Xenopus tropicalis: one gene and its partners. The protein of the gene in region 1 binds, or shares a complex with, the protein of each later gene. Links are inferred from orthologs where the notes say so. Each region holds a gene or a part of one and is shown in the gene's direction. Other genes may lie near its edges. The genes, in order: chchd3, immt, apoo, micos13 and apool.

Region 1 (6,136 bases):
ACACATCCATACTCATTATAAAGGCATTTTAAATTCCCAGCTGTCAATCATATATTGTCTTAAGCTGGCCATACACACACCGATATAATTGTACGAAACATAGCTTTCAGGCCTTGTGTGGGCTCTGAATTATCATCCCAATAATCTTTATACCATGGTGATGGTCGATCGGATAGGTTACATAGTTAAGATGGGTTGAAAAAAGACCAAAGTCCATCAAGTTCAACCCTTCCAAGTGAACACAGTACACAAAACCTATACTTTACCTATCTATACACTCACAAACATAAACTATATATACCAACATCAATACTATGTGTAGATTTAAAAATGTATTTTATATTACATTTTATTACTTATATAGAGTAAGTGAAGTTTATTTTGCTTGACAAACACAATAGCAAAGAATAAAAGACTCCTTTGTCTCTTCATTGGCTGATGTAACCTAGCATGGATATGTGCCCTTGGTTTTATTTATATGAATCAAGGTTTTATATATGGACTGTTTTTTGTGTGTCAATTTATGTTCTTATAGTAATCTGTATACTGCTCATGGATGTAGGAGTTAACTGACACCAGTTTTCTGTATTGGCAGTGTACCAATGGCAGTGCATTAAACACAAATAAAATTGGGGCACAGACTATAAGTTGTAGTACAGACTGTTCTCACAATATATTTTTATTGTATGACAGTGTCTGAATGTAAAAGCAGTATTAATACTAGAGGCATTAATGCTAGAGATCAGCATTCAACCTTTTTAAGTGGAAGAAGACAAAGACAGCATTTAAATCTCAATATTATTTTGAACTGAACTAAAGCTGTTCTGTATAAATGGGTTACTAAGCAAACACAGATACATTTCCGAGATCAAATATAAAGAATACTGGCAGAAACCATTGTGGATTTTGTGTTTATCGTAATTGTTCTAACTAAATTTTGCAGAATTAGTAAACCATAAAAATTGGTAGGAAATCTAATTTAAAGCCATGGTGAGCGAATTCAGTAGTTTTGCTTATTTTTAAACTAACTTTGAAGCATGTAATTTGGTCACTTTGCTAATTTTCCTTTTAAAACAATGTATGGTATCACAGGGGACAGGTTTGGTAAACGTATTTTGAGGACAGCATGCAGTACCAGTTAAGCCATTTCTATTACAGTACATTTTTTATTGGGTTAAACTGTATTAGAGCACAGATTATTTTACTCTTAGAAAAAAATTATATTTTTAATACATTTATTAAAAAATGTATAATCAAATCAACCAAATTGCACAAAAACATTTAAGGCTTATGGCACACAAGAACAACAAAAACCATGTTAGTACAGCATGGATTTGCAAACTTGAGTCTAAAGCACAAAACTTTCAGAACAGTGGTTTCTGGACAGATAAGATTGATGTGCAATATGTAGCACCATGTCTGGTGGTAAAGCTCAGTGGCAGTCGGTTGCTGATGTAGCTATATCTTGTAGCCGCAGGGCCTGGATGTGCCAGATCACTGTACAAAAAAGTACCTAATTGATCTAATTAAACGTTAACACCAAAAGATTAAAGTGTTTTATATAGACGTAAAAACAATGTGCTGTTACACTGCACTGGTAAGGTTATGTGTACCCATAGAGCTAGCCATTAAATCTGAATAGGGCAAAAAGGCTTATGTTTACACATAACACTCATTTGTATACAGTTTCTTTGGTGTAAAATATTTTACAAACGTTTATAAATATGCCTTTGTGCATTTAGGACAAATCAGTCAGCTTGTATTACTAGTTTTACAGTTAATGGTATAAGGGTATAAGAAATACCGTACATGCTTGGAACCATAATTTTGATCAACATATTTTCATTCTGCTAAAAATTATTTAAACCCAGTAGGAATGTTTTGCTACCAATAAGGATTTACACAGATTAGGATCAAATAGAGGGTTCTGGAATATAGTTTCATCTGTTCTTTATTGTTGTATGTTATACTTTCTAACTGGTTTTTTTTGTAGCGCAACATGTGTGCCAGGCAACTAAAGTGGTTGTAAACATATTAAGAAATTTGTTTTCATGAAAATGTGTAACACGTTCTGTATGAAGTATTTACAAGCAGAGGTTGCAATGGCTTCATGTTTGTCTGACTTGGTATCCATTCCTATGTTTTATGGCTGTATGTCTGACAGTAATCGCATTTGGAGTTTTCCCAACAGTGAAAACTGTGCATTAAGTGAGCATAACAAGTACCTCAGATCAATAATGAGGCCAGCACTTTCCCCTTGTATGTTAATCTAGGAAAATTCTTTGTTGGTGGAGGTAGAATCATTTCTGTTGAGGCCTCATCAATATCACATTTGAGTGCTGGAAATGGATATGGTGGCATATGAAAATACAATGAGTGCTAGTCATAAGCAGACAAGATGTCCAGGGATTAAAATGAGTATTGACTGTGGAATGAAAAAGCTCATTTGATTTATTACATGCCAAGAGCAGTGATATGTGTGGGTCTCTGTTAATGTCACCTCTGGCATTTTATAAAACACACAGCTCCCATGTTTTTCCTTAAATGTTATGTATGTTAGGGGTTGACATAACCTTTCTATCAATATGCCACTAGCACTTTGCTCCGAAGGCATTGCTATACATAATAAATGGGGTTAGATAGAACTAAGAAACCAAAAAACATTTTAAGATAAAACGAATAGACAATACATCAGGAGGAGGCAGCACCCTTTCCCTTGTGTAAGATTTAAAATCAGTGCCAAGTTCATAGTGTAGGGTTATCAGGCAGAAAGGAGCCTTGTACTTAATACCAGCCATAGACAGGATGTAAAGACAGGGATCCCTGTGCACCTATTTTCTGCCATCATTAAATCGGTCTTCACACTGATAATCTGTCTCATAGACAGCCATCTAATCTAGTGACTTGTGGGCTAGTTAACCTTCTTGGTTCTGTTTTCAAACTGATATGAAATATCCTGTGCTTTTGCAAGTAATGTGCATATTTAGATATCAAAATGTAGTACTAAACAAAGATATAAGATTTAAAAAAAACCTGATCCATTGAATAATCATATTCTTGTAATTACAACAAAATGTATTGACAGTGTCCTTCATTTTTCCACTTAGGCGATATGAGGCTCATCCAGTTTGTGCTGACCTGCAGGCTAAAATTTTCCAGTGCTACCAGCAGAACCCACAGCAGTCTCTTAGCTGCTCAACATTGGCCAGCCAGTACCTGCATTGTGTCAACGGTGCCAAACAGGTGAGTGTGAAGCTGCATGGTTTGGTGTGCTTGGAGGGAGAATGCATATCTGCAACCTGTTTTCAGTAAAAAAAATATACTGCACTTTCTTCACGTTCATGTTAGTGATAGAGTTGAACTGCATGTGGCATGTTCTTGCTCTGTTAGAATACTAGGGCAGTAGTTAATAGCACATGCTGAAGCTCATAAGGCAGAGAAGCACTTGCACCTTTTTGTCATTTGTAAAGATATTACCTTATTTATGTGCTGATCAGCTTGTCTGAAGTTTAAAATACAAACTGTGATCTCAGATTAAATTCAACGATCTTATAATGGTTGGTCTTGTAATGGAGGATGTGAATTATACGTTGCCCAGCGCAGTCAGACCAAGTTCCCTATAGACCAGCTGTATGTTTAATATTGTTGTAAGGTGGGAGGAATTTGTGACCTTAAGCTCAACATTTGCCATAGGAACATTTATAATCTAGATGTCCTCACAGTAAAAAAATCCTTTCTGTAATGATATCCAAATTTTCTTTGCTTCAGCCTTCATGGCTCATTACTTATCACCTCTATTGTCACTAGACCAATATATGATATTGGTCTGTTTATTTAACTGTGCATGATAATTATAGCACCTATGTAGAATCTAATACATTACTTGTGCATGTATGATTTGTGTATTAAAGGTCCCTAAGCACAGCAATAAATGCTCTAGACAGCTAAACAAAGGTAGATGCCAGGGAAAAGGGGACAACAAGCCAGAATTCACATGATGTGGGGTATTAAATATTTTAACTGAATAAAACTGCTTTATCATACAGTAGCCTTACTATAGGTCTTTGCTGCAGCACTGCCTCTGTGTATTTCTATACCTCACAGAATGTATGCCATGCATCTCTCTTTAAATTATTTTAGTTTATCCTGTGATTCTTTATTTTCTTTAATTTCTGCATGCACTCACCAATCAAGCCCTCCCCTTAATTGACTCATCTCTCTCTAATATCCCCTTTCTGCTTTTTTGCCCAATAGATTTTATCCAACAGCCTTTGCTGTTTGCTTTACTAATTAGCTTTTTTTGCCTTTTTTAATCTTTTCTTTATTAATACTTCATACAAAGTTTAAAGTAGCAAAACTTCTGCATAAAAGGTAAAGCTGACATGCAGTTTGCATCTCCTTATGCATCTTCCTCCCTGCTTTTTTACTGTCATCTTCTATCCTGTGCTTTTTACTTAACTTTTCTTTCCCTTTGCGCTTTGTCCATTTTCCCACCCACAGTATTTTGCCCTCCCTCTTTTGACCTTTGCATTTGATCTCCCTTTGCATCTATTCCCAACCCTACCACTCTTGTGCCCTACATTTTATCCCACCTTTTACTGGTTTATTCTCATTCTGCCTCTGCACTTTATCCAATCTATTTAGTCCTCCAGCTAAACTGACACATATGTGTACTTGCCTTCTATATAGATTTTCCAAAAATATAACCTTAGGTGGGATAGCTATTTTTTTTTAATATTACAAATATTGTATACATATATCTTTTTATATGTTTCACATTACACAAGATATAGTAGACACTGAAATACAATCTACATTTAGCCTTATGGGTTTACTCTGTTTAATATGTTGCAGTCAGTAAGTTATCATCAACTGCTCAGAGAATATGGCAGAAGTTATAAGATTTGATCCTCTAGGACAACCGTGATCTAACACCTTTAATTTTGCAATTGTACTGCAATATTAAAAAAGTTTAATGCTTGAGAAAGTAAGGTACAGCATTTGCTGGAAGGAAAAGAGAGAATGTATTGTATACACATGCTGGAAAGATGCAGATCTCTTGTGAACTGAAAGTTTAGAAACCAGCATCCTAAGAACAGTCTCAAAATTACATTTATTGATTGTTTTTTTCCTTTACCTCAGTAAAACCTACATTTAAAAATACAAAATGTTCTTGTTCTTCATCTGCCTTTACATCGAAGGGGTGGTTCAACTTTCAGTTAACTTTTTTTGTTGTTCCTAACAACTGTACTGTTGGTCATTATTTATTTTTTATAGTTTGTTTTTTTTTAATTATTTGCCTCTTCTGCCTTTTTCCCAGCTTGCAAACTAAAAAAAAAAAATTGCACTGTGAGGCTACAGTTTTATTGTTTTTGCTGCTTTTATTATTTATCCTCCTTTTCATTTTCCTCTCTCTCATTCAAAGCACAAGCTGAGAATGGCAGAGCAGGTAGTGCCATTTTACATTATGTATAAGACTTTGTGGTTAATTTGATAATGAGCTCTGGAATATGGAAGTAATCCTAAATAAAAGCTTACATGTGTGAGGTGTACAAATTTAGACATATAGAACTTCTTACTAATTTCAAGATTAAGATTAATGGCACAGGGAGGCATTGTCACTGGCTTTCCTTTGCAGGCAGATAAGAAAAAAGGGCTTCCGTTGGCTCCTTTCTTATATCTGCACTGACAGGCAGGTGGAAAGTATGCATTTTCTAGCCAGTATATGCTCCGTGTGTCTGCACTCAAGCCAACAAAATAAATGTCAATGCAGATACTGGGAGGAGTAGATTGGCGCACAGAGAAAAAACCCAGGCAGAAAGAAGCCAATGCACAGTGCCATTAGCCTAAGCAGGATTGGGTTATGGGTGCTCTGAATGCTCTGATCCGCCTCTAAATTATTTGTTTTCTTCCAGAGCCTGCTTGGGAGAGGAGGGTAGAAGCCCTGTTTGTGGAGAAAAAGCATCTCAACCCATTTTAATATAAGGCCTCAGAAAAGAATAAAGCAAAGGACATAACATGATCAACGCTTGCAGTTATTCTTTATATCCACTTTGATTTATTAAATTATAAAGGTTTCTTATTGGATTCTTCTCTTTTTCCTCATAAGTGGCATATGTCATGCTTTGTCAGACCT
Region 2 (5,184 bases), on another chromosome or scaffold:
GCCCTGGGGCCAAAAGATCGAATTATAACGACGGGTATAGGCAAAGTTGGTCCGGAGACCGTATCAACAAGCCAATGCGGCCCCCGATCCAACTAGATTTTTTAACCTGCCAGATCGAGATCTGTCCGATTTCAGGCCAGATATCGGTCGGGCAGGCCCGTCGGTTGTGCCCATACACGGGCCAATTCGCTGCCAAAACGGTCTAAGGCAGGGGTCCCCAACCGCTGGGCCGTGTACTGCTTGGCACTGGGCCGCCGCCGTTCCCCCGGAGCCCAATGCGGCGCACATAGAGAGGTGGAAATGCAACGCGCTTCACATTGAAAGGCATGAACGAACGCGCCGTAAGCAAGAAAAGCGAACGCGGCGCGTGCATTAAGGCGCAAATAAACGTAAGACCGCGCCTGCAAAACACCACCCCCTAGGGGACTAGGGGCCAAGTTCTGCCATCCAGAGATGAATGCATAGACTTGTAGAATGCTTAACTATTTAATCAAAGCCATAACTAGTAGCAGAGACCCACTGGGCTCTATAGAAGCATATGAAAGCTGCTGGAGTCCCTAAAATGTTATTGCAAATCTTTGCTTAATGTATTTGTTGTGGGCTCTAAACTGGGGTTTTAACTCTGCCTTTTCTGTGCAGCGGGGCGGCTGAGCGCAGACGACCTGAATTCCCTGATAGCCCACGCCCACCGGCGCATCGACCAATTGCACAAGCAGCTGGCAGAGTATAGAGTGAAAGAGCAGCAGCATATCGAGGCCGCCTTGGAGAAGCAAAAACTGGAGGACAAAAAGGCACTGGAGGCTGCCGTTACCAAGGCACTGGAGCACCACCGAGCCGAAATCCACCTGGAGCAGGAAAAAAAGGTCAGCAACGGCCAACTCTTTCTGTAGGTCACAAAGAGACTGTTACGGGAAATGTCATTACCCTTGTGGCTATTGCAGGCGGAGGAAGTGCGAGAGGTGATGGAGGCAGAGATGAGAACCCAGCTGCGCAGACAGGCGGCCGCTCATAGCGATCACCTAAGGGATGTCCTGAATGTCCAGGAGCAGGAACTGAAGGCAGAATTCCAGCAGGTTAGAGGCTGCAACTTACAGTAACAGACCAACTGACTAAGCTGCTGCTATTTATTTATATGCCTTTGTCAGTAGTTTTAAAGGGCCAGGCACAGCAGCGTTTAATCAGCTGTTAATTAGCCGAGCAGCAGTGAGTTATATGGTAACTCAGAGCTTGGCCCATACAGTGATAAATTGCTCTAATCCCATCTGTTTGCTTGGAAGAGTATATTTGCTTGTATACATATATGTAATGTTGGCCACTTAACAGCCATGTGAAATGAGATGGAAAAGGTTTATGTATTTTAGTAGCTTTCTGGGGGGGTATCGGAGAACTTTCTTGCATGCCTCTAAATCATCCCCCGTGTTCTTATTGCATCAGACTCCTGGGATGTAATCCCCAGAGCCTGACAAATTGGCATATAAAAGCCAAGCAGTATCACTAAATTTGCCAACTGAACAGCAGGTGGCGCTGTTTTAAACAGAAAAACTAGAAAAATGAAACAAATCTAAATTGCAGAAGTGCTCAAAAGAGCATTGCCAGCAATTCTACATGAATATGCTCCGAGGGTTAACTTTTCCTTTACAAGAGGGTTACCACATTTATCCTAACAGCTATTGTTTCCCCCAGTCATTATCAGAGAAACTGTCCGATCAAGAGATGCAGTTTAAACGCCTGGCACAGGAACAGCTGGACGGATTCACGTTGGACATGAACACGGCGTATTCCCGACTGAAGGGCATCGAGCAGGCTGTCGAGGGTAAGTGTGGAAAATGTCTGTGTCTATGGCATCTTACAGCAGCCCCTCTGGCATTTGCCTGAACCCACAGATTGCCAGTCCAGGCCTGGTTTGGTACAGTAAGTGTCCAGCTGTATCACAGATCCCCCTCACACATATGGAATTCTGCTCGTGTGTTTCAGGGCACGCAGCTGCTGAGGAAGAAGCCAGGAAAGCCCATCATTTGTGGCTTTCGGTGGAAGCTCTGAAGTTCACCATGAAGACAGCCGCCGGCGATAGCCCCACGGAACCACTTGAAACTGCGGTCCAGGGCATCCGTTCCAGCTGCTCCAACAATGAATTCACCGAAGCCTTGACTGGGGCAATTCCCCACGAATCCTTACACCGCGGCGTGTACAGCGAGGAGTCCCTGAGAGCCCGCTTCTATTCCGTCCGTAAATTAGCCCGTAGGGTTGCCTTGATCGATGAAACCAGAAACAGTTTGTACCAATATTTTCTATCTTACCTGCAATCCCTTCTTGTTTTTGAGCCAAAGGAGCTGAAACCACCAACCGAACTCAGCCCCGACGACCTCGACACCTTCAAATTACTTTGTTATGCCTCTTTCTGCGTGGAACGTGGGGATCTAGAATTGGCAGCAAAGTTCATCAATCAGCTGAAAGGAGAGTCCAGAAGGGTGGTGCACGACTGGCTGAACGAGGCCAGATTAACGCTAGAAACGAGACAAGTTATAGACATCCTGTCTGCTTACGCCAGTGCCGTGGGCTTGGGCACAACACAAGTGCAGTAGTGACATCACAGAAAACTACAAAATTTGACATTTTGTTGCAGTGTTGAAATTCATGATCCCGTCCCCCATAAACAGTCACCTCATTTAAGTTCTGAGTTGTTAAAATTATTTACCCAATCAAAGTACCACTTAGTTGCACTCGGCTCCCCGGTACCGAGATACCACGGCATTGTATTATTCTTTGTTATCATGAAGCCCTCAGTATCATACCATACGTCTTTATGTTCCCGGCTTCCACTGATCCAACCCAAACGGTACCATCTACTGCTGTCAAACTTGCTCCCTCCCAGTGCACTCAAATAAACAGAGATGAAGACTAAACTATATATTTTTGCCTTAATAAATTGGATCTTATTTGTGTTAAGTGCTTTGTTTGATAGCCTGCCATATGGGAAATATTGCCCTTATTATAATAGAATTCAGACCAATAGGCCATACAGAGGCTGATTCTAGCTGCCGCTATGGGTCCTTTAGACCAATTGGGCAGCTTATTGGCCCATGTATGGGCACGAATGACGGGCCTGCCCGACCAACATCCTGAAATTGGCCAGATCGGGCAGGTTTGCCGTCAGCTCAGGGCCGTACCAGCTTCTTGATGTGGTCCCCCAACAGATGGTTGTTTGGCCCCAGGGCCAGGGCAGAACATGCTCACATTTTAGAAACTTGATTATAGCAGCCACAAGCAATATGTGGGGCATAAATATACATTGGAAAATTCATTTCCAGCAATCACAAGGGAGGGCTGTGGAGTCAGAAGCAATTTTGAGTACCTGGAGTTGGAAGTACCAAAAAAGAGTCGAAGGATTTATGTACAGACTCCGTAACCCTGGCTACAAGTTAAATGTTAAACCGCCCCCCATGTCAGTTCTTTAGGATGTATGGAAGTACTTATACATGGTCAGTAAAGAAATAAGGGACTCCCCAGTGCCCGTTTACACAGGAAAGCAGAGATTCCACATAAACAACCTACAATTAGTTATAATGACCAAGAAGCAGTTGGCTTCCAAGACTTATATACACATCCCCATAGAGGGACACTGCCAGGAAAGTGCCCTCCCCTACGGGCTTTCTACTGAGCAGGAGCCTGACTCTTCAGAATGAGCATTGTTTGTATACTCTCCCTCTATAACAGTGGTGCCTGAATTTTTTTTTTTTTTTTTAACTCATGACCCACACTCATATGTATCCGCACAAGCATGAAAAAAGTTCTTTGGAGATGCCAAATAAGAATTGTGATTTGGTGGCCCCTTGTGGACTGCTAGGCTGAAGGAGGCTCTTCTTGGAGTAAAACGTCTCCGAGCCAGAAATGTAAAAATGGCGCCTAATGGTTGGGGATCACTGCTCTATAATATCCTAGTTTGCACCAAGAAAAAGCCAAAGGCAATAAACAATGTGCCACTAACCCAGCATGGATGGGTGACAAACTGCAAGAGGACCCGGCGCATTAGGGTTGTTCTTTAGCTTGAAGACACCACAGAAGATTCAAAGGATACACAAGAGCCTAGGAGTACTGGGCTACATGCTAGCCACCCCTATTCCAGAATTGCTTCCTCTGATACTGGAATAGAAACCATTCCAATCTATATCATAGCAATTTAAACCCACAGTATCCCTAAGGGTTGGGCACTCCCCCCAACACAAGCTCATGTGTATTGGAACCAATAGGCTTTACATAGTTGTTTACACAACAGGAAACCCTCCATTTGAAAACCTCCAAGATCATTTTTTTTTTTTTTACTGGAGATGTAGCACAAAGGCAAATCCATGGGGAGCTTACTCTTTTCTGCTTGACTCAATATCACTTCATACCAGTCTGAACTGATTCTAAAGGTGGCCATACACAGGCTGATTCAGGTCCTTTAGACAGATTTAACCATGGATGGGCACCAACGACGGGCCACCCTGACCGACATCTGGGCTGAAATTGGCCAGATCTTGATTGGGAAGGTTTGATTTGTCCTTCGGATCAGGAACTGTATCAGCTTCTTGATACGGTTCCCTGAACCGATGGTGCCTATGCCCCCGTGTTAATTCGATCATTAGGTCCTAGGGCCAAATGATAGAATTAGCCAGATATCTCCCACCCGTAGGTGGGCATATTGGGAGAAGATCCGCTCGCTTGGCAACCTCATCAAACACGAATCTCTTAATGTATGGCCACCTTAACAGTCTCCCTCTTATGGGATCTATGAAATGCACTCTCAATTCTAATCCGATGATTTATGCCTCATGCAGCGGTCTGTCACTTGTTGGTGAATAATCGCTGATGTGGCATCGCTTATAGGGATTGTTTACCTAAAGACTTACTTTGAATGTAGAGATTGATCTTCTGAGATCATTTTTAATTGGTTTCATTCATTATTTTTGATTATTTTTTTGCTCAGCAGCTGTCTAGTTGCTGGCATCCAATTTACCCTAGCAACCAGGCAGTGGTTTGAATGCAAGAGTGGAATATGAATAGGGGAGGGCCCAAGTAGAAAGATAAATAACAAAAAGTAGCAATAACAATAAAACTGTAGCCTCACAGAGCAATAGTTTTCATGCAATTGGCCTATGCTTTATATAAACGAGGCTGATCTTTATCCATCTCTGCAGCAGTGTA
Region 3 (6,704 bases), on another chromosome or scaffold:
CACTGAGCTCTGTAAACAAAATTTCCATAATGCCTCGCTCCTGCAGCAAGACCAAGACCCCTGTACATGCACAGTTTGTAAGACTAGGAGGAAGCTTTCTGCTGTATAGCTCAAATCACACAATCCAAAGGGAGGAGGAGGGAGTTTTTAGCATTCTTGTGGGAGGAGGGAGCAGGAGAGAGGAGAGAACTGTGCAGACTCTGGCCCCTGGAATGAAGGATTTTTCTGAGAGAGGAAGTCTAATACCAAAGAACATGTTGACAAAAAAAAGACACAAGAAATCCTGTGTTTCTTTTGATGGAGGACTTAATGCAGCATTTCTGTGAGTGCTTATGGCTGTATTTACATAGACCTTTCTGATAAAGTTTATTTAATTTTTACCTTTCCATTAAGGAGACCATTATATGCAATAAAAACACTGTTGCCAATATTACAGCTTTCTGCTGAAATATCTTATCAAAAAGTCACAAACAATGTCTTTTCACTGTGACAGATATCTATAAAACAGTATCAGGAATTAGTATGTGCTGCAAAACAGCACTGAGTTTTTAATGATGTGACAACATGAAAACATGGCAAAAAGTGAAGAAAAAACTTTTTTTTCCTGAATGATAGTAAATTGGCCCCTTCTCAAGTGCCAGAAACCCACCTTTTCTCAATAGTAAGTTACAAACTGTCCAGTAAAACCTGCACTCCTATAAACGCTCATTGATCCCCCAACCCAATTTTTCTGTTGATCAGCCAATCTACAAGCAAGAGTCTTGCTCGTAGATTGGCCCCACAGCAGAACAAAAATATTGCAAACATTCCAACAGATAGTTAGTAATTTGCAGATGCTATTTCCAGAATTAATAATCCATATATGGGCCTCATTTCTCTAGAGCAGTGCTGTCCAACTTCTGTTGTACCGAGGGCCGGAATTTTTCCGACCTACGTGGTGGAGGGCTGATAATGGAAGGCAGTTTTGACCACTCCCCTTTTTGAAACTGCACCCACTTGAAACCACACCCATGTTATCACATGACCATACCCATATTAATGGTTGTAGTACAGCAAAAACCTGCCATACTCTGCCTGCCCTACCCTGTCTGTGTGTGCCATACTCTGCCTTCCCTACCCTGCCTGTGTGTGCCATACTCTGCCTTCCCTACCCTGCCTGTGTGCCATACTTTCACTGTGTGTGCCATTCTTGGCTGGTTTGTGCCATACTTGGCCTGTGTGTGCCATACTCTGCCTGCCCTACCCTGCCTGTGTGTGCCATACTCTGCCTGTCCTACCCTGCCTGTGTGTGCCATACTCTGCCTTCCCTACCCTGCCTGCATGTGCCATACGTTCACTGTGTGTGCCATTCTTGGCTGGTTTGTGCCATACTTGGCCTGTATGTGCCATACTCTGCCTGCCCTACCCTGCCTGTGTGTGCCATACTCTGCCTTCCCTACCCTGCCTGCGTGTGTCATACTTTCACTGTGTTTGCCATTCTTGGCTGGTTTGTGCCATACTTGGCCTGTGTGTGCCATACTCTGCCTGTGTGTGCCATACTCTGCCTGTGTGTGCCATACTCTGCCTGTGTGTGCCATACTCTGCCTTCCCTACCCTGCCTGTGTGTGCCATACTCTGCTTGCCCTATGATGCCTGTGTGTATGGCACACACAGGCAGCCTACAGTGACACAATGCTGGCACTGCTCCTACAGTATGCACAATAACTATATATTAAAAAACTTTTTAATTGTAGTACCACCTCAGTATATGTTCTTTTTGTTGTGTGCAGGGATTATTTGTGGGTTTCTACTGCTCCTGAGGTGTGAACAGGGGAACAATGGGGGTGATTACAGCCTGAGCCTGAGGTGTGAACACTGCAGGGGGTGAACAATGCAGAGATTAAAAGGTGTGAACAACACAGGGGATTACATGTTTAAACAATACAGAGGGATTACAGCCTGAATCTGAGGTGAGAACCATGCAGGGGGCCAGTTAATCTCAGTACTGATATCATTTAAAGCTTACACAAGAGTAAGCCATCAAAGCAGCCAGACAGGTGGGGGGCCACACAGAGGGGGGTCGCGGGCCGCCAGTTGGACAGCACTGCTCTAGAGCAAGCTTGTGATAAATGCTATGCCCCAGCCCCATGTGAAAACTAGGCAAATTGTTAAAGGAATACCCCCAAAATAATGAAAAAAACTGTAATTCTAAACAACTTTCCAATATACTGTACATGAACAGATTTACATTTAAAATATGTTTTGAAAGTGGAACCTGTCTGTCCCTATCATTTGCTGGTGGTTCTGACTTTTGAAATAATGTAGCAGAAGGCAGCTGATTAACAGACCTATAAAGAATCACAAAAAGCTGACTTCTTTTAAATTATTTTAAAAGAACAGAAAAGTGTTAGTTTGTAACCTATTTGTGGGGCTTAGTTACTCACACAGACTCGCTCTCCGGCCCGCTTCTCTGGGTTCCGGTAACCTAGGCAACCATGGCGGCGCATCTGTAGACTCCACCTACCCCACCCCTGACCAATTGACAATGGTAGCGCTTCACCTCTGAGTGCTTGGGATACTAAATACCCTAGTACTTTTCCCGTGGACAGTGTTTGGGAAGTAATACAACGGGTAGGATTAAATATAGGTTGCCTATAGCTCGGAGTGAAACACTTGTAGGGCCTATGTACTTGTAAAGGCTGATTTTTCCACGGTTGGTACAGATGAGGCGTACTTTTTCGTTTTGTTTGCTTCGTGGTATTTTATGAGCGGTACTTCAGCCGTTTGAACTCTTAAAGTGAATTATTCCCGGAGTGGGTGTCTTGTGAATTCATTGTTTATACACATTTGCTAAGGGGAAAAAACGCCTTTGGAGCAATTTGTTCCAAGCGAGCCCCTGTTGTTCTATGCGGTTCGGCGTTCTGTGTTGCTAAGGGAAACGGGGCCTGCTTGTTCCTGCAGCCTGACCTCCCGTCCGTTGCCATGTTCAAGGTGAGAGATGGTATTCTGTGTGTAAGTGAGGGGCAGGTGTGGGCAGCTAGCCCTTTTCTTGATGAGAGAGTCCCATGAGGTATGGCGTGTACGAAGCGGCTGGTATGCAGAAGGTTTACCTGCTTTGTGTTCTTTATTGCTACTCCTTGCAGCCAGACAGCATGTACCGGCACCTACAGTGTCTGCAGACACTACTACTGGTTTAGCCAGAGATGCCAGTTAGTCTATATGAGCACATTGAATAGTGTAAAGAGAGTATCATTTTCACCCCACTGAGACATAGAATATATTCTGCAAATAAATTACAAAGGGCAGCAAAAGTTTTTAATGGGAATATCAGTGTTCAACTTATCAGGACAGGTACAGTCTGAGCTTTGTCTCATCAGCTAATGCTTGGTGGGTAATAGGTTGGCATTCTAATGTACACGTACCAGTGTGCCTTCAGAGCTAACCATGGCCAAATCACAATGTTGGTTTATTTAGAAATGGACAGACTGAAATGTGTGAGGAAGGAATGCATCTTCTCTCACTTCTGCATTAATAAGGGGCATCAGCAGCTAAAATCTTCCGTTTGGAAAGGCCAAGTGTAATTGTGGAGCACAGTCTGTCAAATTTACCATACGTGCCCAAATGGTCAGGCTGTATGGTCGCCATGGCTGCACGGCCCACAAAAATCTGAGTAGTATCTTCACCTTAATTCAGCTCTAAAACTGTCACATTCACTTAAAGGGGAACTTTCACCAATATAAAAAGCTTTAAAATAAAGTAATTTTTAAATTAAAACACCCATACCTGTTATAAATATATTTAAAAATGTGAGCTGTCAGTCATATTTTGTCTGCCCTGCATCTATGCCTCATCATAGAATCAGGACAGTCAATTACTTTCACTTTACATTTGGCATTTACTAGATGTCATTGCACTCCTCTCCCCCTCCCCCCCTCATCTCCTTATGGTTTATAGTCTTGTAGCCTGTGCATGGGCATCAGGTCCCCCATTCTGATACATACACAAGATTTTGAGATAATACTAAACTTGCCTTAATAACAGTACCCACAAAATGGCACCTGCCACCTGCTTGCTGTAGTTGTGAATTCCAAAACTGAAGGAAACAAGATTTTAATTATTAAGATTGTGTAAGTAAAGTTTATTGTGTTTAGCTAACAAGATAGAAAATGATTTGGAATTCAGTTATTCATTTGTAGGGTGACAGGTCCCCTTTAACTAATACAACCCAAATTTTAAAGAGTTAGAGCCTAAATCTGTGTTTGTTTTCTTAGCTTTGCAGGGCGTACATATTTAAATGTTACACAAACAAACTTCAGTCTATATGAACTAAACCTCTGATTAGCCTATATCTATCAATCAAAGCCATTTAAAAATATTTTTTTTTTATTGTTAACATAAACCAAAATAAAGAAGCAAAAATGGTTAAAAACACACCCTAACCCATTTTTACCCAATTTCTTAAGAAATTTCCATATAGCCTGTGATTCTGAGTGAGGGGCCCCTCCTACACTGCTGCTGATGTTTTTATGGGTTACGGCAGTGATCCCCAACCTGTGGTTCGTGAGCAACATGTTGCTCCCCAACCCCCTGGATGTTGCTCCCAGTGGCCTCAAAGCAGGTGCTTAATTTTGAATTCCTGGCTTGGAGGCAAGTGTTGATTGCATAAAGCCCAGTGTAATGCCAAACAGAGCCTTATATAGGCTGCAAGGTCTACATAAGGGGTAACAAATAGGCAATTATAGCTCTTATTTGCACCCCCAGGAATTTTTTCCATGCTTGTGTTGCTCCCCAACAATTTTTCCATTTGAATGTGGCTCACGGATATAAAAGGTTGGGGATCCCTGGCTTAGGGTGTATTTTTAACCATTTTTGCTTCTTTATTTTGGTTTCTGTTAACAATCATTTTTTTTTCTATTTAAATGGCTTTAATTGATGGATATAGGCTAATTAGGGGTTTAGTTCATATAGACTGAAGTTTGTTTGTGTCCCCTTTAACTACTACACTAAAAGTTGTAAATAAAGGTAAATTAGTAAAAAAGGCCCAGGTATCTTTAATATTCTTGAAGAAAATGTGTAGTACAGAAAACTTTATAAAAAAATAAAATAAACCAGCTATGATATACTAGTATCCTAATTATACGTATAAGTATAGTAAGTAATAAAAAGTACAAAATGCATTTCCAATTGAATGAACTCCCTAGCAGAAACTGCTATCAGGAATCCCTGGGATCTAGGGTTTTCTGGATAAGGAGTTTTTATGTATTTTAGATCCCCATACATTTAGGCTATTAAAAAAATATAAACATTTTATAAAGCCAGTAGGATTGTTCCACCAATATAGATCTTTATTTACATCATTGTAAATGGCTAACTAGATTTGTGTTAATGCTAAAAGACACAAGAGAAAGGGGGTCCCATAGAGCTTACAATGTTAAGGTGGCCATACACGAGCAGATCCGCTCGCTTGGCGATGTCGCCAAGCGAGCGGATCTTCCCCCGATATCCCCACCTACGGGTGGGCGATATCGGGGAGCATTTAGGTAAAAAAAAAAATAATCCGATCGTTTGGCCCTGGGGCCAAACGATCGGATTATGTGGGCGGCAATGGGGCAGTCGGATCGGGGACCGCATCAACGAGCCGATGCGGTCCCCGATCCGACCGGATTTTCTAACCTGCCCGATCGAGATCTGGCCAATTTCAGGCCAGATATCGGTCGGCCAGGCCGCTCTGCTCTCCCCATACACGGGCCGATTAGCTGCCGAATCGGTCCAAGGGACCGATATCGGCAGCTATAGTCGGCCCGTGTATGGGGACCTTAAGTGAATGGGAAATATACAGACAGAAATGGGATAGTATTAAGTGTTGTAATGTTGAACCATTTTTCATTTTTTTAGTGTATTTTGCTCACACTAAAAACTACTCTTCAAAATATTAATGTTCATTTAGACGCAGATTTATCAAAATGTAAGATTAGACTTCAGCACAGAAAAACTCACCCACTTTCTATTCCCTTTTTAAAAAAGAAGCAGCAACCCAGGATGAAAACAGGTTTAATACTTTTAGGGCAATGTCACGTGGGGTGACTTGGGCCCTGCGATTTTTTAGTATCTTGGCTTAAATCATCTTGTGCCATTGGCCATATAATACAGTGGGGTTCATTTATCAATTCTGGACATATTTGCCCATGGGCAGTAACCATAGCAACCAATCAGAAATAGGCTTTTTTTTTTGCAGATAAAAAAATGAATGCAACAACGTGATTGGTTGTCATGGGTTACTGCCCAATGGCAAATTTGCCCAGTGTTGATAAATGACCCCCAGTGTCTCTTTACTGCCTTGTGGTGTTTTTTTTTTTTAGAATGGTGACACTAGAGGGCAGTAAAATGCCATACATGGAATCCGTACAAAGGGAATTGTTGTTCTTTTTGCTGGAAATGTACTGCAGTCACAATATGAGGTTTGTCTCCGTACTTGGTCCTATTAAGGGAATAGTCCTGGGTTCCTCCACACTGTGTTCACATAGGTCTGGCTTTAAAACCTACTTTTACCATTGTGAACTTTTTGAATATAAATATATATTTAATATTATATTTATACAGACACATGCATACACACCCATTGCTGTTGTTATAGTGCAGTCTCTTGTATGTGTGTATGTGTGATCAGAAATCAATGATAAAACATCAAAAATAAAATAAACAGAAGGGAAAGATTTGTGTCTCTA
Region 4 (6,821 bases), on another chromosome or scaffold:
TGTGAACCCTAATTTCTATATTTAAATTAGAACCAACCAACCTAATCTAAAATCTCATCTACAAAAACATTTACAATTTCAGGTGACTGAATCTTGTTTGTTAGTGTAGAAGGGTAAAGGTCTTGCCAACCTTTTATTCAGGTAGTCCCGTAGGAGGGTTTTGGACAGCTAAGAGCTCATCTTGATTTACTATTGGGAGTAAGAGTTGTTTCCCAATAAAGTTGCCACATTTTCTGTAGAAAATATCAGCCTTCCTATATATATTTATCTTTCTTTCTTTCCTATTAAAGAGATACTGACACCAGAAATGAAACCTTTTTTTACATCTGTCATAACACTGTTTTTGCATGCTATTTATAATTTTGCCATAAAAGTATTTCCCCAGTGCTTTTACATTACCTATCTGATCCCCCATGTTGCTCTATGAGGGGGCTGCCATATTTGTGCAGCAGGAGTCCATTAGCATTAGAAGTTATAACTGACAGGCTGAGAAGGGACAGTCTGGTTGGCAAAACAGTCAGGTTTAGGAACTTCAAGTAACAATTACTTACAAAACCAGCCCTATCAGCGAAAAATTATTAACATTACTTATAGGTAACTTTTTGGGGCACATTTACTAATCCACGAATCCGAATGGGAAAAATTCGGATTGGAAACGAACATTTTGCGACTTTTTCGTATTTTTTGCCATTTTGTTCGTCGCCGTTACGACTTTTTCGTAAATTGTCGCGACTTTTTCAAAGCCGTTACGACGGCTGGCAAACCTTGATTTTGGAAGCCTCCCATAGGACTCAATGGCACTCTGCAGCTCCAACCTGGCCCAAGGAAAGTCACGATACTGAAGCTTGAATGAATCCGAAACTTTCTAACTCAGCGCGACGGCTACGAAAAAGTTGCGACAATTCGCGCAAGTCGTAACGCTACGAAAAAGTTGCGACAATTTACGAAAAAGTCATAACGGCGACGAAAAAGTCGTGACAATTTACGAAAAAATCGCAAAATACCGATCATTACGAAAAAAACGCATTCGGACGCTTTTCGGACGTTCGTGGATTAGGAAATGTGCCCCTTTATGTAGATTCATATTTTAAATAGTAGTTTTTTCATTTAATAACATTAAGACCAAATATCATTTTCCGGGCTGATAAAATACAGGCCAGGTGGCCTGGCAGTTTAGTAACTGACCAAGTTGTCAGGTTCCCTATTCTTAAAAAAGGAAAGGTACCACATATTCTGTGAGTTTGGTCCCCACTAGCTAGAAGAGTTGGTTTGTTAAAGGGCCTATGGTTGAGGTAAAACTCAGTAGGTAAAGCACTAGAAGGTTTTGTAGTAGTTTGCTTTAGGAGTGAAAGCCAGGATCAGGGTAGTTAGTAGAGTAGTCAGAGACTCTAACAAAGAAACCAAGGAAGGTTAGTACCCTGCAAAGTCACCTGCCAGTATAGGGACTCAAGCGCTAGGGTCAGGAATAGGAGATTTCAAGGGACTACTGTAAGCATCCACTAGTGCTGGGGACTACCTCTGGGGTGTTGTAAACATTACGCTTGTGATTAGAAAAGAATACCATCCAAAGAATTAAAGTATTTGAGCATTTATGAGACAACTGATGTTTGCACCATCTTATCCTCCAATACCAATAACCAATGCCAATAACAAATCATCACATTGGGCGTATTAAAAGGATTAAATGGGTATGGCTAATTTTATGCTGCCACCTTTCTGGTTTCTACCTGCTTTTTACCAGGACAGCCCAGTTTTCAAAAGGGCTGTCTGGGTCAAACCTGCATGGCCAGTTTTCCAAACAAGAAAAATAAGCAGGATTCTCCTACACTGATGCAGAACTTTTCCAGATTGCTGTAGCAATGTGCCAAATGATACCCACCCCACCCTGTCTGGCTTTCAGAATGGGAAAAGGTGGCATCCATATTTGTACAGTAGTGCTACCGTATTTGGTTTCTTGATTCTTGAGCTGGTGTTGATTTTCTAAACCAGATTATTTGGTTGGTCAGAAACCAACATCAGCAATGGTATAGGGGGTCATTGGTCAATCCAAACAGGACTGGGCTGTACTCTGCTGTGGTGTCTTTTCTTCTGCCCTCTTGTTTGCTCTCCCATTTTAGCTTTTTACTTTGGGATTTGGTCGAATCCCAGTCTGACACATTGCATACAAAATGGGAAGTATTCTAGTGTACAGCTAGTTGTACTAAATGCCAAAATTTAACTGGTGATCAAAATTTTATTTCTAGGTTTTCTTTATCCTGTGGCACCTTATACAATGTCAATACACAACTGCTTAACCAAAAACCATATTATCACTACGCTTTATGTATGCTAAAAAATGTAAACTTTGAATAGTAGTTCTTTTGTTCATATGTTTTATATTTATGTGAACAGCTATAGTTAAAATTGTATCATATATAGCAACAATACAGGCTATGGAACAATGTCACCATTTATATAGTTAACGAGGGTCATTCAAACTAAACGCTTGTTATCTCAAGCAAGCGTTTAGAAAAAACCCATATATTTTCTCTACACTACAATTACCGAGATGCTTTGCGAACTGTCCGTCTCATGTGATCGGAAGTAGAGAGGCTGGATGCGCGGCGTGTCCTTGGAGGGGGAAAAATGGCTTCCGCAGCATTGAGGATACTCAAGTGAGTTTGTGTCAAGCGCTGCTGCTTTTAACTTACTGACAGAAAATGTCCGTATTCAAGAATTCTTGCTGGGCTGTATTGTCGGATATAGTTAGCTTCAAGCTTTACGAATACCACGCCCTAAGGCTTTCTGCTTCATATGGAGAATGAGTCTGTGCGAAATAAATGGTTTTAGCAAATTCCTACTCATTTTAGGTTTGCCACCAAAGCAGGCCTGGCTGGGGGAGCTGTGTATGTGGCGTATGACCAGGGGCTGCTGGGCAGTGGCACCCAAGGAGAGGAGGTGCTGAAGAAGACCACAGCTGCCATACCGCCTGCCATTCAAGAATGGGCTAATTACTTCGGCTGGCAGGTAAACTAATTAAAGAGGTGTAAGTGTGTGTGTCTATATATCCATATCATATATATAATAGAAAGAGTGCCGCACTCACAGGGACTTGATACAAAAGAAAGTGTTTTTATTGAAAAAATTCCAACATTTCGAGCACAACCAGTGCTCTTCCTCAGGTCCACAAGTCCCTGTGTGTGCGGCACTCTTTCTATTATATTTTTGTTTTTGACCTGCACCAAAGGCATTTGGACTTGTATAGGGTGTGCTCCTCCCTGTGTACCATATCACACACACACACACATATATATATATATATATATATATATATATATATATATATATATATATATATATATATATATTTTTCCTTATTGGATGCAAAACAATCCTATTGGGTTTATTTAATGTTTTATTGATTTTTTTAGTAGACTTAAGGTATGGAGATCCAAATTACGGAAAGACCCCTTATCTGGAATACCCTTGATCCCAAGCATTCTGGATAATGGTTCCTATACCTGTATAAGGAACAGCGTAACTTATTTTGGCACAATCCCTCCTGTACAGGTTAGTACAGTGCTATACAGCCACAGTTCCATCAGTACATTACAGAGCATGTGTAAATGTTTTTATAGCATGTTTTAATTAAACTGCCTGAGGTGATGTGGCTGCTCTAAATTTAAGCAATGTAGATTATGCATTGCTCGCGTTAAACAGTCAAACATGGAGGTTTACTACCTCTTTAAGCATTTTAGACCAATGTAGATTATGTTTGTAGCATGCACAAGGCCTTAAACTAGTACATTATTGTATACTTTGTAGTGCCAACATATTCTAAAGCTCTTTACTGGGACTGAATTATACAGTATATAAAATGATAACAATAACATGTAAGAATGAAGAGAGGTCCCTATTCACTAGAGCTTACAATAAGGAAATGCATTGACTAAAGGTCCCCATACACAGTAAGATCCGCTTGCTTGGCAAGATCGCCAAGCGAGCAGATCTTCCCCCGATATCCCCACCTACGGGTGGGCGATATTGGGGAGCTTGAACGACCGGATTATGTAGGCGGCAATGGGGCAGTCGGTTCGGGGACCGCATCAACGAGCCGATGCGGTCCCCGATCCGACTGGATTTTCTAACCTGCCCGATCGATATCTGTCCAATTTCAGGCCAGATATCGGTCGGCCAGCCCGCTTGTTTCTGCCCCTACATGGGCCCTTGTATGGGGGCCTTAAGGCTAAATGCTTGCTTGGGCAATGTAATATGAAATGTATCTTAAATAAGCTTTTGCAAGTTTTCTTATTGCCCTGTGGATCAACCAGTTTCCCCAAAGACATGCACCTTCATAGAAAGCCTTCATTTGTGAACAGTTAAACATATGATGGAGTAGTGCACTTTGATTTTAAAACAGGCAAAATCCTATTTAAATGTATGTACCACTGTATGTAATTCTTTGTGACAGTGACATACACACAGAGAAATAATGTATTCTTTGTTTTTCTCAATGTCTGTGTGTATTACCCATGGACAATTGTTAAATAGCATTTTTAAGTATATTTGCAGCATGGGAGAGGTCTTGGAGGTGTTACATACGGTTGAAAAAAAGACCAGAGTTCAACCCTTCCAAGTAAACCCAGCACACAAACCTATACTGACCTATCTATGCACTCACATACATAAACTATATATACAGAAATTAATACTAACTGTAGATATTAGTGTAGCCCACCCTAGGGTATGGCTTGGTGTACTGTAGTTGTGACTGTGGTGACACCCCAAAGATTCCCAGTAAATACCAACACAAACAGGAAGTAAACCCAGATTTATTACACAGGAACTGGGCTGAAAATGAGTTAGAAAAATTAAATGCAGATAAATGCAGAAAGTATGAACAGGCAGAAATAGCAATAACAGTGCAATGCAATGTAAACTGCACTAGCAGTTAAGTTCTAACAACAAAGTTTGGGAGCTCCCCTAATGTCCTATAAGCCGGCAGCGTTGGGGCCCTTAAACAACAATTTACATCCAGGATGCTTGTACTTTGTTATTATAGCTTCAGAGGAAACCAGCTTGGCTACATTAGTATCACAATAGCCTTGGATATTCTGCTTGTTCAAGAACTCATCCAAGCCCCTCCATCCAGGCATTAACAGAATCTGCGATTGCAACATCACTAGGAAGGGCATTCCCCAACCTCACTGCCCTCACCATGAAAAACCACCTACGCTGCTTCAAATGGAAGCTCCGTTCCTCTAATCTAAAGGGGTGACCTCTGGTGCGTTGATTGTTTTTATGGGAAAAAAGAACATCCCCCAACTGCCTATATTCCCCTCTAATGTATTTATACAGAGTAATCATGTCCTCTCACAAGCACCGGAAAACATCCCCTTTACCAGTTTAGTTGCAGTCTCTGCACTCTCTCCAGCTCATTAATATCCTTCTTAAGGACTGGAGCCCAAAACTGCACTGCATACTCAAGGTGAGGCCTTACCAGGGACCTATAAAGCGGCAAAATTATGTTCTCATCCCTTGAGTCAATGCCCTTTTTTTTTATACAAGACAGCACTTTATTTGCTTTAGTAGCCATAGAATGACACTGCCTGGAATTAGCATTTGTAATTTGGGAATCAAATCTTATCATGCTCTGTTACATTTTTTTATCATGAGACCAGATAGTCTATGGTAAACTTAAGATGATCTTTTTCAGATCCCATCTGCACCAAAATTAGACTTCTCTATCTGCGAGTCCTGGAATTGGGGTAAGGATTCCATGCATTACTTGAATAGAATCCAAATAAAATGCCATTATGTGAATTACAATTAGACACAATCTACATGCTCTTTGTATAGATTGTTTGCTTTACAAAACAAACAAAATTGTAGCTTCTATAGTGTAAGACACTTGGACACCCATATGTTACAAAAAATCACAAAATAAACACATACAAATGTATACTTTACATAAAAAAAATGCTTTCTTAATTGTGTTTAATGTAGGTGTGCATTGTTACTTTAAATCCAAAGCATTTATTAATTGGCTACCTGTGGAGCTGTCAAAATGCAGGGATTTCATATGTAATAGTAATGTGCGGGTTGACAAATAGTCAACCTGCACCCGCCCCTTAAAGAATAAGTAAAATTACTCTAAACAGCCTCCAGAATTACCTACCTTTGTCCCAGCATTCTCTCTGACCGGGTTCCTCAATCAGAAGGTGTTCTTTTTCGTTGCTTCCTTGTGCAGAGTGAAGCCCCGCCCCCACTTCCTGTTCAGGTCTCTTATCAAAAAAAAAACCTGGCTAATGCACAGACTGGCTCCTGCTGCCTTTAGGCATGCACAGAAGGCTCTCCACTCCGACAACCTTGTCAAATTGAAGAGAGAACTCATAGAAAAAAAAAAGTTTACTTATTCTTTAACATCTATTTATAGGCCTTCGCCCACCCCGCACCTCCACATCACGGGGCAGGTGTTCACCTTTAAATAGATGCTGCCATAGCTGGAAGCAGGGCTCAGCTAGGTCATGGGCGGAGAGGGTGGCAGACGAGCTAGGCCCGAACTTGTCTGCAACACACTTCTGATGTGTGGATGTTGGCCTGACCCGTGGGTCCTGCAGGTTTTGGGCTGGCCAGCACATCAGCAGTACGTAAAGAACTCAGGTTTGTCACATGGTGACAATACGTTACATACTAGATAAAGACGGGTGATACATAAAGTGAGTTTGAGAAGTCTATAATATATATTTTGCAGGTGATTACCATTTACAAGTAGACATAGAATATAAACCCTATTCATATTATAATATATAATAAAGGTCCATAAAATTAATAGCCAGAAC
Region 5 (6,136 bases), on another chromosome or scaffold:
ACAAAAATCTAAATATATCGAAGAACACCCTGGCCGTCTCCAGTCTGGATTGTCTTCAGTGAGGGAAACTATTTGGCCTTATGTGGTATGGGGCAAGGTAAGTTCTCCCATCTCTACTTCATCCTGTTCTTTAATATAGACCTCCTACTTATATTTGTTTTTATATTTTTGCCCCAAACAGATAAGTTTTTACACACTTCTGACTTGAATTCATATTAAGAGTTTACCATTTCAAGAAGATGCTTTATTAAAAGGTTGAAAGATGGTACTGATAAGCTGTACAACTTCTTGCCTATTTTTAGTTTTGTTTAAAAGTTTCAAGCCATGTGCACAGCAACTCCTTCACAATTTATAAAACACTGCCATTTAAAGTCCATAGGAGTAAATGACATAGTCCATTATCATTTCTGCTGTTTGCAGGGTTCCAGCCCTGTAAATAAAGAATAAAGTATCCGTTTTGATATATCTACACAAAGTCTATCAAACACACGAGCATGAGTTCCAAAGAAAAATGCAAACTCACAGTACATAAAAACAGATATAAATTATAATCTTGGTTAGGACCATGTGGATAAGGGGAATCCAGGTTTTTTTTATCCACCATACTTCTCTTTGTTTAAGCTTCAATTCATTATCCCCTCCCCTCTTGGGGGGGAATAATGTCCAATAAAGTATATTTAAGCTGATATGCAGCGTGCCCCTGTTCTTCAAAATGTTTGGAAAGTGGTAGCACCACATTCCCAACATTTATTGTAGGTTTATGTTGTAATATCCAGGATTTAACTTTTTTATCGTTTCCCCCATGTAAATCTATCCACACAGGCAAACTATAGCATACACAATATGTGCCTGTAACTCAAAACATTGTCCTGTGGTTGGATGTTGAAAAACCTTCCCTTTTATCACATTTGCACTGTTTACACTTAAGACAAGGATACATGCATATTTTTTAGGACCCTGATCCCCCTTTTTGGCCAGCTGAGGATACCAACCTAGAGTCAATTGTTGTACCCTACCCTACATTTCTCTCGGAACTCATATAGAAGCTCTCTTGTCTAGTAGCAAGTTTATATAAAATATATTGCTGTCAGAAAAGAAGCACCTGTCCCATTTGAGCCTTTTTAATCTGAATGTCTATGGTAGCCTATTCAGTGACAGACTTTTTTCACTGCCAGAAATATCCGGGGAATAAATTCTCTGGTGTACCAGAGGCCTTAGAGCTTATGAAACAATTTACATTTTACTAGTGCACAGTTACTGCACTGTATATAAATACACATAAATCCCTTTCATGTTTTTAATTTTGCTGTAACATTTAGAATTCCAAATTTTGATTGACTTTGTATGTGTAATTGTAATGTATACATATACAAATATGACAGTTCTGTCCTACCTTCATTTGCCCCTTGGTAAATGTGTAGCATAAGCTACTTAAGAAGAACCATGGTGCTTTCTGCATTGCCTGTATTGTACATGCATTATTCCCTTTTTTCTGCTGACAGTTTTTATCTATTTTGCTTTTTAAACTTAATTAAATTTTAAACATAAAAAATACACAGGTCAGCATAGCATGAGAGTAGCTAATATATCTCTAGTTCACACTGAAAGCTGATACAATAATAGCTATGATCAGGGAAAAGAAGGGACGGTTAGTACAGGAACAATCTTCAGTTTAAAAAAAAATTGGGTACACAATGTATTTTGTAGTTAGTCATGCAATATTTATTTAGAATAGATTGGCAAGCAGTAGGTTTTCAGATCCTTCTTCCACGCTGAAAAAATATTTTTGTTCCCTCCCCTCCATTTTGCATCTGGTGGCGAGGGTGGGGATTAGCAATCCTTACTTGCCCCCTTAAGCAGTGAGGTCTAGCCCCCTAAATGTTTAAAGGAGAAGGAAAAGCATTTTATTGCCAATAGATTAGTCACAATAGTGCAAGCTAGAACGCTATATTTAGCTTGTTCTCAGTAGCACTGCACTAGCTGCTGGTAGCTCAGACTACACAGCACAGTTGGACAGGGGAGAGAGATGATGGGAGGGAGGAGAGAGGCATAAACTGAGCAGGCTCGTGCCATGCCCTGAAGGATTTTTATGACAGCAGGCAGTCTGAAACAGATCATGTATACAGAATAAAAGGAAAGAAATGTGGCGTTTCTTTTCACTGAGGACTCAGAGCAGTGTTTCTGTGAGTGCTTATGGCTGTATTTACATAGACCTTTTCTTCTCCTTTAAACACTGTATACAACACATAGTTAAAGCTATATGTGAGAGTCCATGTTGTACTGTATTTGTGAGGCCAAAAGAAGTGTATAATTTTGCCAATCATCTGTGTGTAGGGACAGATAAAGTTTAACTTCTCCAACTCCTTTTTTCATAGCATTTTTGTTCATCTGTCAGAAATGGAGTAGAAGATACAGTACAGTTTGGGAAAGGTGAGTTCAAAGGGCTACATGAAGGATGAAAGCAAAAGATCAACTGAAAATTCAGGGACACAGCTAATACATGTTGCAAGGAAGCACTGATTGTATTTAAAATAAACTGCAATTAGTCAAGCCCTGCTAACTGAATTTTTAGGTGCTCTGGTCACCCTACCCCAGACCCTCTTACCCTTCCAAAAAGCAGGTTTCTTGAAGGCTGGAGAAGATTTCAGCATTGTAGAGATCAAATGAATTCAGAAATATTTTGCATTGCTAAACATGCTCTACCTACTGGTAGACAGGAGAATAGCAACCAAACAGGATAAACCTATTATGTGACAAGGGTTGTAGTAGGAGAAACCTTATATCTTATCCAAAAGCAGTTCTTTTGTGTAGTGCTGGCTTCTTCTTAGGACTCAGGGGCACAGGGGGAGATTAGTCGCCCGCGACAAATCTCCCTTGTCACGAGCGACTAATCTTCCAGAACTACCATCCCACCGGCGAAAATGTAAGTCGCTGGTGGGATGGCACACGCTGAGCTGGCGATTTCAGCAAATCGCCCAGGGGGAGATTAGTTGCCCACAGTTACTCTCACCTAGGACCGCTTTCTGCAGCAGGCTGTTTTTATGCAATGGGTTTTGGATTCTTATAATACTGATTTTTGTTTCAGATAGTTATGTTTACCTGAAAAACCCTCCTCCAGAATTTCTTGCAAGATTGGGTATAATCACAGTTAGCGGTTTAGCTGGTTTGGTCTTGGCAAGAAAAGGTAAGATCCCAATAAATTATTAGATTATGTCTGTGTTATTTTCCATATGATACATTAAGCCAGATTTTTCAAATATGTAGCACTGAATGGTGTATATATCTTGATTTCAATTCATATTTTTGTTAAATGTCCATCTTTTATATTGTCAGTAGCTGACAAACAGAGCTTAATGTTTCACTATATATCTGGCCCTGCCCCTAAGCTACATACAAAAGTAATATCCAGGACACATCCTTTAACTAGCATCAACACTATTACAGGTTCCCTCAGTGGGGCAGTCTGCTGGTTTTTGATTCCACTTAAATAAAAAAAGCGTTAAGACAAAGCAAATCAAGATGCCTTTTTATAATTCAGTCTAACATGCCTTCTATTTCCATCTTTTGGCTGGAACATTATTTGTAAGACCGCAGCTTACAGTGGTGGGCACTAGGGAAGAAGGGACTTCTCATGTTATGCCCCACTTACCACACTTATTCATATACAAACATCATCTTTTTAATCAAAGTCCTTATTTATAAATTCATTTTCTACCTACTGAACTGAAAGTCATATAATGCTAATATATTAATAGGCTTAGTAAATGTTTTTCATGCCAAGATTATAGCCTGATTTTAAAGGTCAGCTGATAGAACTCAATAATTTAAGTTGATAAAACATACATATGCATTTTGAGACAAGATTGTTTACATACTGGCAGTTTTAAACAGTTTTTATTGTATCCTTGTTTCTGTTTTGATTGTTGTATTTTGATTTTAACAGGATCCAGACTAAAGAAGATTGCTTACCCCCTGGGGCTTACAACATTAGGTATTTCAGTTTGTTATCCAACACAAGCAGTCATTTTTGCAAAGGTGAGCAGCCCATAATGTATTATTAATATGGAATCTTGGCCATTTTTTATATCATTGAGATGCTGCAGTGTCGCTTAACAGCTGCAAGCGCAAGCAACATATTTCGCTTAGATTACAATTCTTGCAAATCCGGAATCACCAGGAGTGCTGAATAATTTATTTCTTATATATATTTAAACCTGAACAGTGAATATTAGCGATCAGAAAGCTATTTGCATGAATTACCTGTATGCCTTTAAAGCTAGGACTGTTCTGTTCTTACTGATCAGTTAACACTGGAACAAACCAGTAATGACATTTGTCTTTATAGAGCTGTCATTTCCACTACTCATTTTCTAAAGGTGCATGGATTTGTTCTTCCAGTTAACAGGGCGAAAGATTTATACAGTAAGTCATCAAACATATGATACATTGAGTTCCTTGTGGAAAACAAGCATCCACAAAGAAGATAAACCTCAAACACAAACAGAAGATCTTAAGGTATTAATTCTCTGTATTAATATAGTTACACAAGTAAAACTGTGCTTTTAAGTCTGTAGTTCTTATAATGAAATGGTTTTTTATACGTGAAAGCACTGGTACTTGCCAAAAGATAATTTCCTGTCTGAAAAGGGTCAGTACCAGCATTTACTCATTTCTCACTGAAGTGAAAGGAAGGCAGCAGCTGCCATTTTGGGAACTTTTATGTCAATAAAATATGTGAAATATTCCAGCATGGAATACACTCCTTATGCCATCAGCCTAAAATAAGAACTGCTGCTGAAAACAGAAATGAGACTCCAGCGAGTAAGCATCAATAATGTAGAGTTCTTGTCCTCAAATGCAAGAATGGTTACTGTGATGGATTTAAAAAAAAATAAAGATGATAGTTCGGAGAAATAAGCACTAGTATTATATATGTGATTATTTTTACTTTTTTTAAGAAATAAGATTAATCCTATTATTGTAAGGAGGGCTAGACTTTTAGTTGTAACACATACTACAGTGCCTGGTGCCCCGGAAGCATTTATAGGGCTGCTCTTATGAGCTAAACTAGAATCTGCAGCATAAACATTGGCCTACCACACAGTCTCTAGTCACCTTTTTGGGAAAAGAAAAAGTACATTATAACATTTCACTATTTCAAGCTGCATTCAACTGTGTAATTATGACAGCCATGGGATAAAAGGGCATTTTGTTAGAAATATGTTTTCCAGATGTCCAGATACATATATTTGTCTTCTGTTATCACAAAACAAACATGCTGAAACTTTGGGGGTTGTGTTTTTAATAATTTGGTCAGATAGAGAACTGTATAGATTTAACGGGTGCATATGACTTGAGTGCAAATGAGTACTGGGGCTCATTTATCAATACTGGGCACGTTTGCCCATGGGCAGTAGCAAAATTGTAGCTTTTATTGTTATACCTGCAGCTGGCTGTCACAGTACTTAGTTATATCCACCTGTTAAATGAGCAGTATACATCAATGTATCATTATGAGTTCAATGAATAAGATGTGTGTTGACACAAACTTTGGTGGAGTTAGACAAGGATGCAATTTGCACTTTAGCAAAGATTCCCCAAGGTGAGAAACCAGATAACCAGACTTATTGACACACTCCCTCTTTGCTTATGGGACTGGCTTGTATTTTAATTTGCATAGAATTTAAACAGGCTCTCCTTATCATGGCAATGATTCTATTATCTATATGGAACAGAGGGACAGTATGTGGTTTGTTCCAACTGACTAGAAATCTCCATAAGTCCATGAAGCAAGAAGGGGTGGGAACTTTATTATCACGGGGGGGTACGTTGGTTGATGAAAACGGGGAAAAAGCTGAAATTTTGAACTCTTATTTTTCATCTGTCTATACATCTGAGGAGCCAGATAATGAAGGCTTCCCTTGTAATATGCCCAGTTCTAGTAATTTAGCTACTGACGCATGGGTCACTCGGGAGGAAATTCAAAAGAGACTTGAACATGTAAAGGTAAACAAAGGTCCAGGGCCGGATGGGATTCATCCCAGGGTATTAAATGAGCTGAGCGCTGTGATTGCCAAACCTCTTCACTTAATTTTTCAGGATTCATTGAGGTCTGGCATGGTGCCAAGAGACTGGC

Evidence for each region.
Region 2: chchd3 (region 1) and immt share a complex: the UniProt entries of both Homo sapiens proteins name them as parts of the mitochondrial contact site and cristae organizing system (MICOS) complex. The link is inferred for Xenopus tropicalis from reciprocal best matches to the Homo sapiens genes CHCHD3 and IMMT.
Region 3: chchd3 (region 1) and apoo share a complex: the UniProt entries of both Homo sapiens proteins name them as parts of the mitochondrial contact site and cristae organizing system (MICOS) complex. The link is inferred for Xenopus tropicalis from reciprocal best matches to the Homo sapiens genes CHCHD3 and APOO.
Region 4: chchd3 (region 1) and micos13 share a complex: the UniProt entries of both Homo sapiens proteins name them as parts of the mitochondrial contact site and cristae organizing system (MICOS) complex. The link is inferred for Xenopus tropicalis from reciprocal best matches to the Homo sapiens genes CHCHD3 and MICOS13.
Region 5: chchd3 (region 1) and apool share a complex: the UniProt entries of both Homo sapiens proteins name them as parts of the mitochondrial contact site and cristae organizing system (MICOS) complex. The link is inferred for Xenopus tropicalis from reciprocal best matches to the Homo sapiens genes CHCHD3 and APOOL.

Annotation. Positions count from the first base shown.
Region 1 is NC_030679.2:85,995,907-86,002,042, reverse strand, and holds part of chchd3 (MICOS complex subunit MIC19), read left to right. Parts: intron 1-3,107; coding exon 3,108-3,243; intron 3,244-5,915; coding exon 5,916-5,939; 3' UTR 5,940-6,136. UniProt on the Homo sapiens protein: Component of the MICOS complex, a large protein complex of the mitochondrial inner membrane that plays crucial roles in the maintenance of crista junctions, inner membrane architecture, and formation of contact sites to the outer membrane.
Region 2 is NC_030677.2:17,808,725-17,813,908, reverse strand, and holds the end of immt (MICOS complex subunit MIC60), read left to right. Parts: intron 1-639; coding exon 640-863; intron 864-941; coding exon 942-1,073; intron 1,074-1,683; coding exon 1,684-1,813; intron 1,814-1,974; coding exon 1,975-2,582; 3' UTR 2,583-2,946; downstream 2,947-5,184. UniProt on the Homo sapiens protein: Component of the MICOS complex, a large protein complex of the mitochondrial inner membrane that plays crucial roles in the maintenance of crista junctions, inner membrane architecture, and formation of contact sites to the outer membrane.
Region 3 is NC_030678.2:43,139,378-43,146,081, reverse strand, and holds the start of apoo (MICOS complex subunit MIC26), read left to right. Parts: upstream 1-2,951; 5' UTR 2,952-2,961; coding exon 2,962-2,970; intron 2,971-3,016; exon of another isoform or gene 3,017-3,031; coding exon of another isoform or gene 3,032-3,049; exon of another isoform or gene 3,050-3,051; coding exon of another isoform or gene 3,052-3,072; intron 3,073-6,704. UniProt on the Homo sapiens protein: Component of the MICOS complex, a large protein complex of the mitochondrial inner membrane that plays crucial roles in the maintenance of crista junctions, inner membrane architecture, and formation of contact sites to the outer membrane.
Region 4 is NC_030677.2:114,329,102-114,335,922, reverse strand, and holds the start of micos13 (MICOS complex subunit MIC13), read left to right. Parts: upstream 1-2,542; 5' UTR 2,543-2,625; coding exon 2,626-2,654; intron 2,655-2,849; coding exon 2,850-3,006; intron 3,007-5,695; coding exon 5,696-5,747; intron 5,748-6,821. UniProt on the Homo sapiens protein: Component of the MICOS complex, a large protein complex of the mitochondrial inner membrane that plays crucial roles in the maintenance of crista junctions, inner membrane architecture, and formation of contact sites to the outer membrane.
Region 5 is NC_030684.2:63,231,435-63,237,570, reverse strand, and holds part of apool (MICOS complex subunit MIC27), read left to right. Parts: coding exon 1-97; intron 98-229; exon of another isoform or gene 230-349; coding exon of another isoform or gene 350-430; intron 431-2,375; coding exon 2,376-2,430; intron 2,431-3,085; coding exon 3,086-3,184; intron 3,185-3,943; coding exon 3,944-4,035; intron 4,036-4,398; coding exon 4,399-4,515; intron 4,516-6,136. UniProt on the Homo sapiens protein: Component of the MICOS complex, a large protein complex of the mitochondrial inner membrane that plays crucial roles in the maintenance of crista junctions, inner membrane architecture, and formation of contact sites to the outer membrane.